2 linked regions of the Styela clava genome follow. The protein of the gene in region 1 interacts with the protein of each later gene in a pairwise test. Links are inferred from orthologs where the notes say so. Each region holds a gene or a part of one and is shown on either strand. Other genes may lie near its edges.

The links.
Region 2: the proteins of general transcription factor IIE subunit 1-like (region 1) and general transcription factor IIE subunit 2-like interact in a two-hybrid assay, tested with the Drosophila melanogaster proteins (2 studies listed by BioGRID). The link is inferred for Styela clava from reciprocal best matches to the Drosophila melanogaster genes TfIIEalpha and TfIIEbeta.

What each region holds. Positions count from the first base shown.
Region 1 is NC_135250.1:24,568,061-24,575,893, forward strand, and holds the start of general transcription factor IIE subunit 1-like, read right to left. Parts: upstream 3,030-7,833; 5' UTR 2,949-3,029; coding exon 2,878-2,948; intron 2,605-2,877; coding exon 2,514-2,604; intron 1,962-2,513; coding exon 1,866-1,961; intron 1,284-1,865; coding exon 1,209-1,283; intron 1-1,208.
Region 2 is NC_135255.1:3,758,493-3,766,161, reverse strand, and holds general transcription factor IIE subunit 2-like, read right to left. Parts: upstream 2,960-7,669; 5' UTR 2,935-2,959; coding exon 2,050-2,934; 3' UTR 502-2,049; downstream 1-501. Other genes in the region: diacylglycerol lipase-alpha-like, read right to left, coding at 275-369; small ribosomal subunit protein eS26-like, read left to right, coding at 4,627-4,751, 7,365-7,484.

The sequences.
Region 1 (7,833 bases):
TTTTTCTATATCGTATTGATCTTCCTCATATTTGAACAATGCTTCTTCATAAGTTTTTATTAATTGTTTTTCTATATTCCTATTTTCCTTAGCTAACTTTTCTCCGCTATATATAGACCACTCCTTAATTTTTCTTTTACAATTTTCCCAAAATTTAAGAACATCAATTTCATGTCCTTCATTTAATTGCTTTAGCCATTTCTTTAATATAACTTCTACCCCTGTGACAAATAAATCATAATTTAATAAGTTGCTATTAAATTTCCAATAACCTTTCCCACGTTTGATATTCTCGCCTATATCTGTCCACATAAAGACAGGTAAGTGATCCGATAATGCTGCTGCAATTATTTCAACTTTTTCTACATTGACAGTATATAATCGCGAAAGATACCATCTGTCTATTCTGCTTTTGGATTGTTTTTGCCCGTTTCTGGTTGCTGGGCGATGAAATGAAAATTGTAAAAGGGATGAGTGCCTTTCACGCCAAATATCAATCAAATCCAATTTAGTAACAATATTTTGGAGCATTTTTTCACTTTTGGAATTATTATTTCTTCTACATTTGACGGAATCCCTATCCCTATCTTCCAAAATACAATTAAAATCACCACCACATATAAAATTGCATGTGTATGCATAATTTGAAGCTTTCAGGGTTTCTAGTTTTTCATATATAAGTTTGAACAACTTGACCCTTTGAGAATCAAGGTTTGGAGCATAAACGTTCACTACTATTGTTAAAAAACTATCGTATTCAAATGAACATATAATATATTGGCCATTTTCATCTATATCTATATTGCCTAAAGATATATCTAAATTTGAAGAAATCAAGATCAAGATCCCTACCCCATTGCAGGTATTGGAATATTCAGTCCATAAACATTGACTACCCCACTCTTTTGACCATGATTCATTTTCAATTTTACCAGAACAGTGAGTCTCTTGCAGAAACACTATATTAGCTCCCCGTTTTTTCAAAAAAGTAAATATCGCCTCCCTTTTCGTCAAATCCCTTAGTCTTAGTACTTCAGTCTTAGTACCAACACATATTTAACATTATATTAAAAAAAATTTTCAACGAAAAGACCAGAAAGAAACAATTCACTTGCTAAAAATTACATAATGATACTTTTGCTAGTCTGAAATAACATGTATAATAACACATAAAGTAATCTAAAATAAATGAAATTGAGAATATTTACCTTATATTTAATAATGTTGCAAATGCTTCTATAATTTATATAATAATAATTGTGACGAAGTACATTCCCATCTGGCTGTAAAACAAAGATTTACAAAAATAATTTTATGTTTACACAACAGTTAGATGATTAACTCGATTTGTATTGCACAATGGCCTAGTGTTGGGTTCTCAAACATCCCCGGATGCGGCTGCATAAATTATAATAAAATAAGTGTAATTATTTAATCCTTTTTAGTGGAATGCAACCATTTTTTGCATTCGTTCATTGACCCCTGACCAAGGCTGAAGCATTGGAATGAATGAACTATGCCTGCATCACAGGTTCAAGATCTCAGTGTAATCCCGTACCCAACACCTCACATTGGGTGTATTAAATTGGGTAGGCGGGTTGTCAAATGACTGCCAAAAATATATCCTGCCTATGGTTTGTGAATTTCATTTTGATTTTGTGTTAATTCGGACTATTTTAAGTATGCGATATCACCCCTTCAGGTTTTTCCCCCATAAGAAGCAATATTGCGCACGTTGTTAAGCACTGCTCTACGCGATATATTCTAAGCAAATGATTTTTAAGTTACCTACTATGGAAAGGTATATAATCTCACTATATCACACTTTAACCTATAATAACAAGATTGCTATTTATCATCTTTACTTGAGTTTCAACGCAAAGTCTTGCTTTCAAAATTTTATCATTCTTCAGAAAAACCAACATTGCTCGTAGTTGTTTCTTGTCCATTTTCAAAAGTTCCTGAAAGAAAAATAATCACTTTTCAAACACAGTATACAAATTTTGATGACCCCGATAGCTTAATCTAAAATCTAAAAAAAAAATTTCTAATTGTAAAATTCAGAGTTGTCAGTAAAAAGCCCAAAAAAACTTTGTTCACCGACACAAATATCACATTAATGGAATATATAACGATTTATGCACTACTTAGTATATTTTGACCAATCAAGTGTGCAACTAATGAAAATCCGAAAAATTTATCAATAAGGACAAAAGGATTAGCCTATATATGAGAGTGCCAAATTGAGTTGCCATAAAAACAATCTTTTTTTCTATTGATGAATGCTGATGGCTCAACTTTCGATGAATCATCATTATTGTTCAGAATACCTTCACAAATACACTGACGGGTCGAAAGTGGCAAGTTTGAACCCACTCCCCCCCTCTTCCGTAAGAGTAAAAAAAAAACTGGACCTCATGAAATTAGAAAGTCTCTAGTCCTTACATCTATATTCTTTCTATATAGGATTAATTAAAAACAAAAGTATGTAACTCGTAAAAAACATGACCAACTTGGATGTCATCTTCCTTCACACATGCGTTTCGAACAAGTACGTCGATAACTAGGCCGTGTTCAAGTCCATAGAATCCTCTTGCAACATATCTGAAGACAAAATATATAAGATCATGAAGCTGAAGGTATAGCTCTGAGAAATAAATAATGTGTCCCACTTTTCCACACTTGAAAATAGTTTGAATTCCATGAGTCTAGATGTAGACTAACACAAATGTAACATTTTTACATTCGTGTTAGTGTACAGCAAGACTCCAGAGCAGCTTTGCATTATGAATCCACTTACGCAAAGGTATAGCGTAAGAAAAAGTAGATATTCTTGTGTAACGCAACTGATAATTGAAAAAGTTAAGTAATATTAACCTGATAAGTCTCTGCAAAGCATCGGGTACTTCTCGTAAAACTTCAGATTCATTTTCTAATGTGTTGGACATTTTACTTAAAATCAGACTTCAAGAAAAGAATTCTAATTTGGAATATAAATATTATCCTATATTACATAGTGTGAGCACCCCCTGAAAAGCAAAAAGTAAAAATATTAAAATTTTGCTGGTTGTGTGACATCAAATAAGATGGAAATTCACATTCATTCTGAAGGAGAGAAAACATACAACATTGCACATTAAATATTACCAGTTACCAGTCAGAATTACCACCAGAGCACTGTGATGGAAAAAATGATAACATGTGAAAAAGTGGCTCTTCATTTGAAGCCTTGTTTAATGCAAACACACAAATAATCTCAAAACACAACCCAAGTAAAACCATAACCGGTGGACTATGCCAGAACAATGAAGAAAATTTTTCAACTCCCAGCTATCGTGAACAATTGTCCACATCCTTGTTTAAAAATAAGATAAAATGTTATTATTAGAAAACAGTCCCAATTTATATTTGCTACTCTTCTTGAAAACAACAAAAAGATACAAATAACATTGGGCGTTCACAATTAAATGTACAAAGTGTGAGTGGTATCAAAATTGATTCAATATCAAAAAATTTGTACATTATAATAGTGGTGATCGTTTTCAGTAAATATTATAACCTGTGTTTTAGAAATGTAACCATTTTTATATAAAAACAAGAAGGAATTTTGAAATGGAATTTAGCGCTTAAATCAACGATGCAAAAAGTGGGTGCGACGCAGGTTTTAGGTCATTTTTATGTGACCCGAGTTGAGAATTATGATAATAGAGTACTCTTCAGAAATCAAAAAACAATGACATTCAACAGAAATTTTTACTTCGCTTGATTGATATTGAGTTATTTTTTCCACATATTCGATTCAACCATGGATGCAAAAAGTGGGTGCGATATAAGGTGTGTACCGAGCCACAGGATTTTGATAACAGAGTTCTCTTTAGAAATCAGAAGTCCATAACAATCAACAAAAACGTTTTTATTGCTTGACTGATATCGAGGAGGTTTTCTCACATATATTCTATGCACCTAATATAGAACTCTCAATCTAAAATTGATTTGAAGTATAGCATGCATGAAAGTATTTTAGAAAGCAGTCCTAGGATTGCAAAATATTTTAGTTGAAATTACTAGATTTTGAGTACTACTGATGAAAAATACTACCGGTATGTAAAGCAATGGAGATAAATTATACTTGCAGAATATACCATGATTCCAAATGTTTAATTGTACATAGAGGAAAGGATAATTACCGATTTGTCACAAAAACAATATAGCACAAAAGATATTATTTCAAAAAGCAGGATTAGGGTTGTAAAAAAATTTAGGTGAAATTTAGAGATTTTGAGTATGACTGATGAAAAATATGATGTAAAGCAATGAATATAAGAGTTATACAAATATAGTTAACTGTGATCCAAACCCATGACAAGGATTAAGAGAATGAGATGAAAATATCTAAACTCCTACAATGTTTTTCGACTGTATTTAAATAATTACCTGAAAAATACGGGATTGATTCAGTAATAAATTTTAGTGGCAAAATACCAAGTGATGGAAATTAATTTCCTTAACATGTACATCAGAGTTAGAGTAGATTCAAATCATAATATATTCAATTTTTTATAATATCTTCCATATAGTTTTGACCGTTCCTATAAGAAAAATTTTATAAACCTCAGGCAAATGTCATAAGCTTTTGTGTCAACGTAAATGATTCAGCATATAATTTTTTTTAATATATTTATACGCAGAATTACTGAATCTTGAAAATGTCAATTCTTGGAATCAGTGACTTTCTTTTGGGTGATCTGCTTACTGAACATAACATGAAACCATGGTGGGAAAAAATCAGAGGATATTTTTATGCAGGCAGTGTGGCAACCACCCTTTTTATGTTTTATTTGACACAAACTATAAAAATAAAATGTGTTCCGACGGTACAAAATGGCACCTCTCTTGATGCTGCTATAATGAACAACTATTGTATGAACCAGATACCATGGTTTGTGACTTATTCTGGTTTTCTCGGCCTGTCTTCCATCTTGCTGGTTTTGATTGCTTCTGCCTATTGGCTTCAGATACCTGGAGTTATAAATTCATTCAACACTTTCAAAAAAGCAGAACAGCTAATTGAAGGATTATCCGATGAAAATGACAAACTGCAATCCTCTGTTGAAGAACCTTTATCCAGAATGTCTGACTGCATCGTGAGAGAGGCTTGGCCCTTATTACTCTTATATGAATGCGATATTTTTATCAAACATGTTTATTACAAAAGAAATAGGATTCTTCTTGCCGCTATCGTCTTATCAATAGGTATATCAGGATTACTAGTATGTTTCTTGGCTAAAGATGGCAACACATTTCACTGCAATCCGTTTCAATTAGACTATTTGGAAATGACTGGTGAAGGGAGTCCGGTACCTTATTTTTGCTCACACAATACTGCAAAACAACTTATTCCTTATTGGGTGGGGTTTTAAGCATCTACCATGCTACAACTCGTGTTTGTTATAGTGGGAATGTGCAAAATGAGATATTTACATAAGGCAGTCCCTAGATTTGACCAAAACAGCTATTTTCTAGAACCCCTCACAATAGAAGAAACTACAGCTGGGAATGCTGAACATGACAGCCCCGAGAATTACTTTAAAAATATACAAATTTTAAGAACTTATGCAAAGAAAGCATTCCCCTTTATAACATTTATGATTCGCTTCTGGGAATCTTGGACGCTCTGGAAAATTTTGTGAGATCGTTAAACTCTGGTTTTCTGACGAATCATTGAAAGAATCGGCTAGACACTATACAGATGCCATAACACTTGACAAAAAGAAAAATATTGAATTGTTTTCCATCACGAACGATCTTGAAGACTGGAAAATATTGGAAAAAGTAGAACAAAAATTAAGCGAAAGAAAGATAACAGCAAACACTGCAGAGAAATATCTTCAAAATATAAAATTGAAAATTACTAATCCACATACTAAAAAACTAATGAATATTGCAAAAATAAACAGAGATGGCTTTTTAACAGTTGTCATTATAAATCAATTCGAAGAGACAGATGAATGTGAAAATTTTGTGAAAGATCTAAATCTGGATTTATTGGATAACGATGGCAGATCAATTTTGTACTATGCTTTATCTGATCAAAAATATTTCAAAGCGGCTAAGATTATACTGAAAAGCATGAAAGATGGAAGAACGAAATATATTCATTGCGACTCTAAGTACAAGTACTCCTTTCCTCCTATTATTGGTTTAGACAATAAAACCATCAGAGCAGCAGAGTATGTAGAGTGAGTTTACAACAAAATGTGGACCCGTAATGAGGATTATGAATCGCTGAAAGTTCTAATTCTTAAAAGCGAAGAAGGGGGTCCTGTGCCAAGTAAAAGTCAAGAAGCACTGAAGGAACTTTTAAGTAAGTTTAGTATCAATGAGGAAGTACATGAAAAAGCGAGTCTACAAATGCAGAATGAAGTAGATATAAAAAAAGTATTAAAGCCATTGGAACCTCTCCTATGTGTATTAGCATGCACAATGCTCGAACGGGAATTTTCAACTCTCTTATTTACTCACTGGGATGAAACAGCAAAAAAAATTGCAAGATTTGCATATGACAATAAGCTCTGGGATATATTTGTAACATTACTAAATTCATACATTGTAACTGAAGAAAATGAAATTGAGGAAGGACTGCGTGAAGTAGGATGTGGTGTCAGGAAATTTGATATTGGAGAAAACCCTGAAATTCTCGTTACTGCATGTGTCAACAGTCTCCGAGGGACAACTGCCCTAGAGCATATACTTGCATGCACTCTTCCTCAGCAAAAGGATCGAAATCATCCTGGCCTGCAGATAATTGATCATACTATTCTTGAAGTTGGAATAAAAGAAAAGATAAAAAAAAAATGGCACACAGTATGAAAGAAAGATTCGGACAAAGTACAACAAATGAAACAAGAATAAATCTGGAAGAAAATGCTGGACCATCAACATCAAATCGAGAGAGGCAACATAATGTACAAGATAATGAAACAGAGAATGAAGAAGACATCATCGATTCTACACCACTGTACAAAACCTCCCCGGTGTAAGACATTAATTGAAAGCTATCATGTTGATATTTGGGAAACATTATCCAAAGTCAACTAATTTTTTTGATTTGTTGTAAATGCTTTGGCTAATAGATTAGGCCTTCTAATTGAAATAGAAATTCATATGTATCTATATGATTTGATTCAAGATTGTGAAATTGAAGATTGGTATGTTTTCCTTAATATTGGAGTCATAGCCAAAAATGTATTTTAATTTTAAACTCTTTAATAAAGTAAGAGATGAAGTCAAAATTTCTGACAAAAAATAAAAAAGCTCATCATACTTATCATCATAATAGAAGCATTGTAAATATCAAAAGTTTTTGAAGACACACAGTTTTCCCAAGATTGGAGACTGATATCAGTGTAAAATTTTTGTGATTTAAGAATCGAAAATTGGTATCGTTTACCAAATTTCTCAAACTTTAGTGTAAATGTTCCTGGAATTCATAGGAGCTGTTGTCCTCACAACAGTTTAATATGATGACCATTATTGGATGAATTACTTCAAATAAACAAATCAATTTGCCCCATCTTTTACTGATATAAAGTTACTTAGATGTTTTTTTTTATCCGTAGAATCACATATTCTGTACTCTGTAGTGTAGATTACTAGACTAAATATAAAACTTGTTTGAAAATAGTTATAAAGATTGTTGTCTTTATTTATAAGATTTCAAGGGATGAAGTCTGCTAGTTGCGTTCCTATGCCTACAACCTAAATTCTGATAACATTAAAAATATCGAAAATATACTAAAATGAGCACCAGAAAGCAAACAAAGGTTTGGTTTA
Region 2 (7,669 bases), on another chromosome or scaffold:
CACCCAAAGGTGTAATAAATTGGATAGGCAATGCCAATGTCAGTTATAGAAACTCCTTACATATCAGTGGATTATTGCGCAAGGTATTTTCAGAGCAAAAAATAAAAATAAATACATATTTGGGAAAAATGGGATTATCTATCCCATTTCCAGCATTTTTTTATATGTCAGCGTCATTTCGACCAAAATATTATTCCTATTTGCTAAGTCTTTAGATATTTTTTCTATATCACATACCGGTAAATCGAAAAAATAAACGTAAATATCGACTTACAATATAAGATGCATGAGGAATAGTAACATTCCAGGAACCACAAGATCGTCGCTTCCCGTTCCCCATCTTCTTTTGAAGGCAATCATTCCAGGCATGATGGTGATAAATCCAACTTTCAACAAAGTTCATAAATTTGCTTTTAAACTAAGTAAGCTAATGATTATCTCCATTTAGGAAACGACATCTCATACTCCCAATAGACTCATGTAAATACCTGACCAGAAATGCTTGAAAAAAATGAATTAAAGATATGGATACACAATGTATGCAAATATTAGAATAGAGAGAGCCTGGCAGCTATTGGAAAATGAATAATTAGAATAAAATTACAAATCTTGAATCTTGGTGTAGTACAACCAAGAACATTTCCATATTGAAATATAAATTCCATAACATATTTTGCATTCTGATATTAGGAACAAAGTCCTAAATTATCGGTATTTTAAATTGAGAAAGAAATTAATTTGTCGATACCCCATAAATGTAGTTTGTTGGTGCCCACAGGTGTGTATAAAATGAGGTGAAACAAAGACTTGAATACACAGTTATTAGAATAGAACAAGCCTGATTAGGATATATAAAGAGATGACTTCATACCAAAATTGAAATTGTAATAGGACTATGAGAAATTCATTAAAAAAATATCATGCCAATTTTCTAAATTGATACATACAAGAGTGTGGTGGTACTATATTCTTTCAAGAATTAAAAAGGAGGTGTTGCATGATTATATTCTTATCAGTGTAGCCAGTGATGCACAAAGAATGGTTCGTGAGCGCAAAATTTAGAACAACACCTGGTACATTGGATCAGTGGTTCCCAACATTTTTTCAAGCAACCCAAATTTTCTAAAAAAAATTAATTTCCTAAAATCTCGCGACCCAAGGATATGTTCAAATACTCATTGGCATGTAATACTTTTATGGCCGCAAAATTCAATGACTAATAAAAAACATGACTAAGTGAGAAAGCTGCGTTAGTTTGCCCCAGTGAGGTCGTGGGGTAGCTCTACTTAAACAAAACAAATGCTGCAAAGTTTTTGCAATGTGATACTTCCCACGTATACAATTACTATTGAGCGACACTTCAATTACAAATATAAAACAAACAATAAAATTCACTAGAAATTGAAAATTGGTAACTTTTAGATTTTCGTTGAAAAAACAAGCTACCCATAAAAATGTTCAGGAGACTCAGTCGTGGGTCGTGACCCATAGGTTGGGAAACACTGCCTTAGATAATAAAAAGTAAGGTGGGTGCACAAATTTGTAGGTAGAAAGCATTTCGCAACAAGTCGAAACAAATTAAGTCGAAAGACAATTTGAGAAGGCTGAGAACAAATAGATAAATTTACAAGCTGCAGACCTAGTCCTTAGGGAGCAAAAAAAAATCAATACATTCTGAAAAAAATCATAAAGTTCAATTATGTGGTAATTAAAGTCATCCATGAAGTACATAAACAACTTTGATAGAAACATTTTTGAACAGATTAGTGAGAATCAAAAATATTAAAAACATTAGGTTTGACTGGTTTTCAAGTCTTGTCTGCAGTCAGTTTTTCATAGTGTGTATAATGGTAATTTAGTCATAATTTTGTCAAAACTTCCAAACGAACATTATTCAAATAGAATCCTACAAGCAAAAGGTATTATATTGAATTGACTTTGAGCAAATTACATTTGATTTGCATATAGCTTGCATCTTAGTCGATTGCTATTAAAAATAAGCACAGTCGTTGCAGAATACATTGCCTATACATAGATCAATTAAAAATATCATTTCTGTTTTTCAGAATAATCTTCTAAAACACCAGCTATAATATGATCATTATGTCTTTTAAATTTGCGCTTTCTGTTATTTGCCCTTTTACGAGGCTGTGCTGGCTTGAGCTTTGTCCTTGTGTCTTGTACAGAAGACATACCCTGTTGATTAAGGTACTCTTCAATTTTAGTTTCATCCATTGATTCAATAGCAACACTTCTCCACAACTTTTGAAATTCTTCGTCGACTTGAAACTCACAGCTTTTATCATTGTAAAACAAAACTTCCTTTTTATCAGGCCTCGTTATATAAATGATTTTATTTCCTAAAGCCTTTAGACAACGCTTTGCATTTGGTAAACTTTCTTCTACTTCGAAACGCATAATTCCACCTAGACCACGCTGATCATATCTATCCAATAATTTCAGAAGTGATTTTTTATCACGAATGTTATACTTCGGTTTGAAAGCGTATTTTCGTTCCTGGCCCGGATTGTCGACGACTTGTATTTTCGGATTATTTGGTAATGCTTCATTTATCAGCCAGTTTTTCTGTACTGGCGTTATAATATCTTCAAGCTTGCATTCCTCCAATATTTCATCAATCGTAAGTGGGAACATATCATCTTCTTGATGTCTCGATTTCATAAAGTTCACAATTTGAGCGAGGTTTCCGAATTTTGAACCTCCTATACCTGCCCTACTGCTATATGATGATATAGACTTGACCGAGTTACTATCTGACGTCGGCCGTTGTAATTTTTTAGGCTTTTTCTTTGCACTGGCTGCAGAAGTGTCATTGTTGACTGCCTCACTCTGATGTTTTCTCTTCTCTATGACAGGTCGTGCAAGCGCACGCTTATTAAACTCCTCTCTTTGACGTAAAAGACTAGCATCCATATTTCTAAATCAGTAAATTAAAAAAAAATTAATATAAAATACAACAGGCCACTTGAACTTATACAATTGCAAACAATTTTTAAGAGAAGTGGTATATACAATAATACAACTTACAAGAAGGATTGAGTCATTTATATTATTATTAGAATGACTTTCTAATTTAAGGAATCAAAATCACTTATACAGACAGCAATGTGATATCCTTGAATAATAATCTGAAACTACAGTCCAGCAATCACATATAACACTCCATATTAATTAATACAAGGGTTTAAAGGAGGAATGTGTCGTGTACTTTCAAGTGCAAATTTTTTGCAAAACCGAGTAAATAAAAATCCAATATTAAAGCACGCAACAATCATCTTTTCAAAGAATTTATAAAACTTTAGAATGTTTTGATAAAGTTATTTTAATAATTCTGTGACACATAAATATAAGGTACAGAATTGTGCGAAACGAGCCAATCTCAGGTCAAATACAACAAAGTCCAAATCAACAATAACTGTTCAAAATAATTTTGTATGAATTCATATTTTACTTGGTTTTATTCACAATCTAGTTTATTTTGATATGAATTTATTGGAGAGTGGAAAAATGAACTTTTTAATTCATTGATTTTACTCTTAAAATAGTTATTCAAAACATTCATATTGCTTTCTGCTCAAAAAATAACCATTTAAAAAAATCATGTTGTGTTTATATTTGTTGAAATTACTACAGACAGACAGAGCAGGTTGATGGCACACATTTTGACGATTCCTTTAAAATATTGGTAACAATATTTCACTGGCTTTATCATATTCCTATATTTTTTTATGTGTGCATCTAATTAGTCGTTATATATTTCTGCTGTGATTGTGTTTCAACTGATAATTCTGTGTTTGTCTAATACTGGATAACAATGTAGGGAAAATCTTGACTCATTTTTTTCAAGGACTCGGTGGATCTCACATTTCATGTAAATAAAATCACTTTTCTCGGATAGCCAGAGAGCCCGCATTGGGACTTCCAAGGGGTTCCACCTCAGTTGGAATGTGGAAAGAGCAATGTACTAACACACTAATGGAACATAATTTCTGGACACAATTTATCATGTCGATCAAAGTTTTATTCAAAACTCACTAGCAACAACTCAAAATACATCATGTTCATATAATTAATATTAAACGGTATTTAACGTCAATTTGGTACGGTAATTGTCGTTGCCTAAAAGTATCCAACTTCTGACAATGGTGCATTATAGACTACACTACACAAACATTCAATTCGCCAACGATAGCGAATTTCGGCAGTCGGCACGGTACCGATTTACTACTAGTCAACTAGGAAATGAATTGTTCCAAGAATTGTTTATGGAATTGGTCAATCGCTCACTTTCAATCCAACAAATTAGACCTGGCGCGGAGTAAGAGTGACATCTTGTGGAGAATTATTTGCGCAAAGAAAAATAGAATGAAGTCCTCTTTTCAGCACCACTTCGGCCATTTGGTTGGTTTTCGACAAGGTGAATTATATCCGTTGTAATAGATCTATTTTATTAGTGGATTGCTTTGTTTGTTATAAAATCGAGTACAGGATGGTTTATTTTAAAAGAATAATCTTTTGTGGAATGAAAGATAGCTTAGATTTTTTAGAATATTCGTATCAAGCGAAAGTATATATTGGTTTATGTATTTCAGAACACTCAGCACCATGACGTTGAAACGGCGAAATAATGGACGTAACAAAAAAGGCAGAGGGCATGTAAAATATGTTAGATGCGAATCATCAGGAGCCCGTGTTCCTAAAGACAAGGCAATCAAGAAATACATCATCAGGTATTGTGCTCTAATTTACTGATCTGATCTTTTCAGCTCTGCGATTATTGAAATCTGGCTGTTTCCATGTAGGATCCCCCTTTGCGTTAAAGAAAACGATACCCAAATCTATTTCAATGCAGCAATTTGTCATTAGTTAATATGACACAGTTCTCCGGTTCCAAGAATACCCCCCACATTTAAAGACATTTATAACGGTGATTGCCAACCTATGCTTTATGAGAAAGTCTGGGCCTCCATATCGGCAATGTGCAATAAACTAAAAGGAAGCGCAATCTAAAAATGTCACCATTGGATTCCACTCAAAAAGTAATTAATACACAGAAGATACACACGTTTTGGACGACATTTCGTATACTTTGATGGGCCATATTTCGGCAATGTAATGTTGCAGTGACGTAATTTTTGGATGACAAAGTCATGTGAAATTAGAAATGACATATGCGAAGATGGTTATGTCACGCCAACTAGAAGTACTTGACTGCGTTTGGTGAACTAGCCTCCTTCTTTTGACCAATATGTGCCATGATTATGTGAAATAGACCTTGTTACGTTATACCAACAGAATTGAAAACTTCGTAAATTCACTCGTACATCTGTAATTTACGAATAAAGTTATTGAGCTATGACTGTTTTTCATATAGAGCAGCGTTTCCCAACCTTTTCTGGTTGCGGACTATTTTCTCACCGGCGAAAACCTTTGCGGACTCATTGTGCGTTTATTGCAACCGTACTCTGTGTGAAAAAGCAATAAAACCAATTACAACAGAATTTTAAAATCGGGAATTCGCCGCAATTACACGTTCGTTAAGAGACGATTTTTTTAGTGTATAATGGCTTTTTCTGTCACACAATATCAATCTATCACAACGACGTGAATTTAAAATGTCCTATTTTAATTTGATTGTGTTCATGGTAACTCGCGGTTGCGTCGACTTACGACAAGATGAAAGCATTACTTCCTTAAAATGGCAGGGCAATCTGTGACTATAATAATGTGAGAATATATAATATTGCCCGATTATATTTTTTGCGAGCTTGCGAATTTGTTATCGTCGTTAGAAAAATCCTACTATCTGCTATAAATTTCCAGAAAGTACAACTTGATTTAGTACTTATTAAAAATACATATTCATCGTCTTGCTTTAAAATTAATCCAGTTGTGATCATTTTAATCTGCAGTTTTGTTGTCGAAATAAAAGCAATGCTACTCAGAAAATATCATGACAATGCGTGGTAAAGTGCTTGATTATATTTTGTTTTGATTCTTATTTTTGTAAATTCGACAAATCTGAGCTGTTCGTACAACACTTACGGTGCTCCAGTACTGTACGTACCAATGTGGAGGCAGTAAAGCAAAGAATCCTAAGGGAAAATGCCCTGGTACGTATACTACGGTAGCACCCGAACTTTTGCGATTCGTAATGTTTAAAAAAGCGTTTTTAATTGGTCGCGGACCATCATAAAACAAAATTTAAGGTGTTCTCCGTTTTATTTTTAGTATTGCCGATTTTCAATTTAGAAAATTCGGGTTGCCACCATTGACACTTATCTTATCATCAGAAAAAAAAAATTTATTCCTCGTTATTCGAACTCGCGAAACTTCATTTAGATATCTATCGAAGCTTGTGCACTCTCGTGTTTTTGTCGGAAATCCGCAAGGGAGTTGTGAAATCCGATCGTTTGATTAGGCGACGCGCAGGCGACCTTCGCGTTGTCAAATTTTTGAATATATGATCAGTCCTACTCAGTAACCAGTAATTATTGACTCGATTAATGTTATGTTAATAAACTTGCTTTTTTTGTTTTATGTAAATTCTGACGTAAATCGTAACTTGGCTGATAGTTGAGTTTCGCAAAAACGTTTGCTGCCCGAAGTGAATTTTTGGCTCATTGCGGACTCATTCAAACGCTCTGCGGACTCATTTGAGACCGCGGACTCGGGTTGGGAAACACTGATATAGAGTATTGTAAATGAAGCAATTCTGATTTTATAAGCAAAAAACAAAATGTGGTATATTTTCAATTGTCTGTAGACAGTGACCTAAACTCATAGCAAGTTAGCAGAATAGCTGTGCCTTTTAATTTGTCAAACTCCTGGTGTAGTCTAACGATATTTGCGTATGACATTTCTAACCCTCACCTTACTATATCATCCACAAATTATGTCACAGTGCAGTAAAAAGGGTCCGCCATAATATATGGACAGTCGGCCAAAACACGCAAACGATCACTTGAAATCAAGCAAGCAACATCGTATACAAAGGGATACTCTCTCATTTTGTCGTTATAGTGATTCCAATATGAGAGAGGCCACTGGCGTTAGTGAGTTGGACACTGTCAGCCCAGACGTTTTTGGATGACGTAGTTAGATGGGGTTGGTGATAACATAGTCATAAATGGTTATGCCACACGGATTAGAAGAATTTGTGGTACTAAAGTACTCTGTTAAACTCTTGTATAGGAAATGAATCCATTTATTAATAATGTATTCGAAAAACTGGTGTAATTTATTAAACATACATTCTACGATTACTCTATTTTGTTATGGAAACATGTTGAATTGTAAACTTCATATATTTATTAACCTTTTGTATTTCTCTCATTTCACAGAAACATTGTTGATGCCGCAGGAATGAGAGATTTGGCAGATGCTAGTGTGTACGAGTCATATGCATTGCCAAAAATGTATTATAAGGTCTACTACAGTGTGTCAGCTGCTATTCACTTGAGGTATTATAATTAAAAATATTTTTAATAATATTGAGTTAAGAATAAAATAGAATTACCGTAAGTGCTTTTTGTTTGAGTTTTTCGTAAATATTTTTTGCAATCTGTGATTATTGAATTCTGTCAAATATTCACAAATCACAATATTATACTTTGTCATTGTTTGATCTGGTTGTTATCCCAGAGTA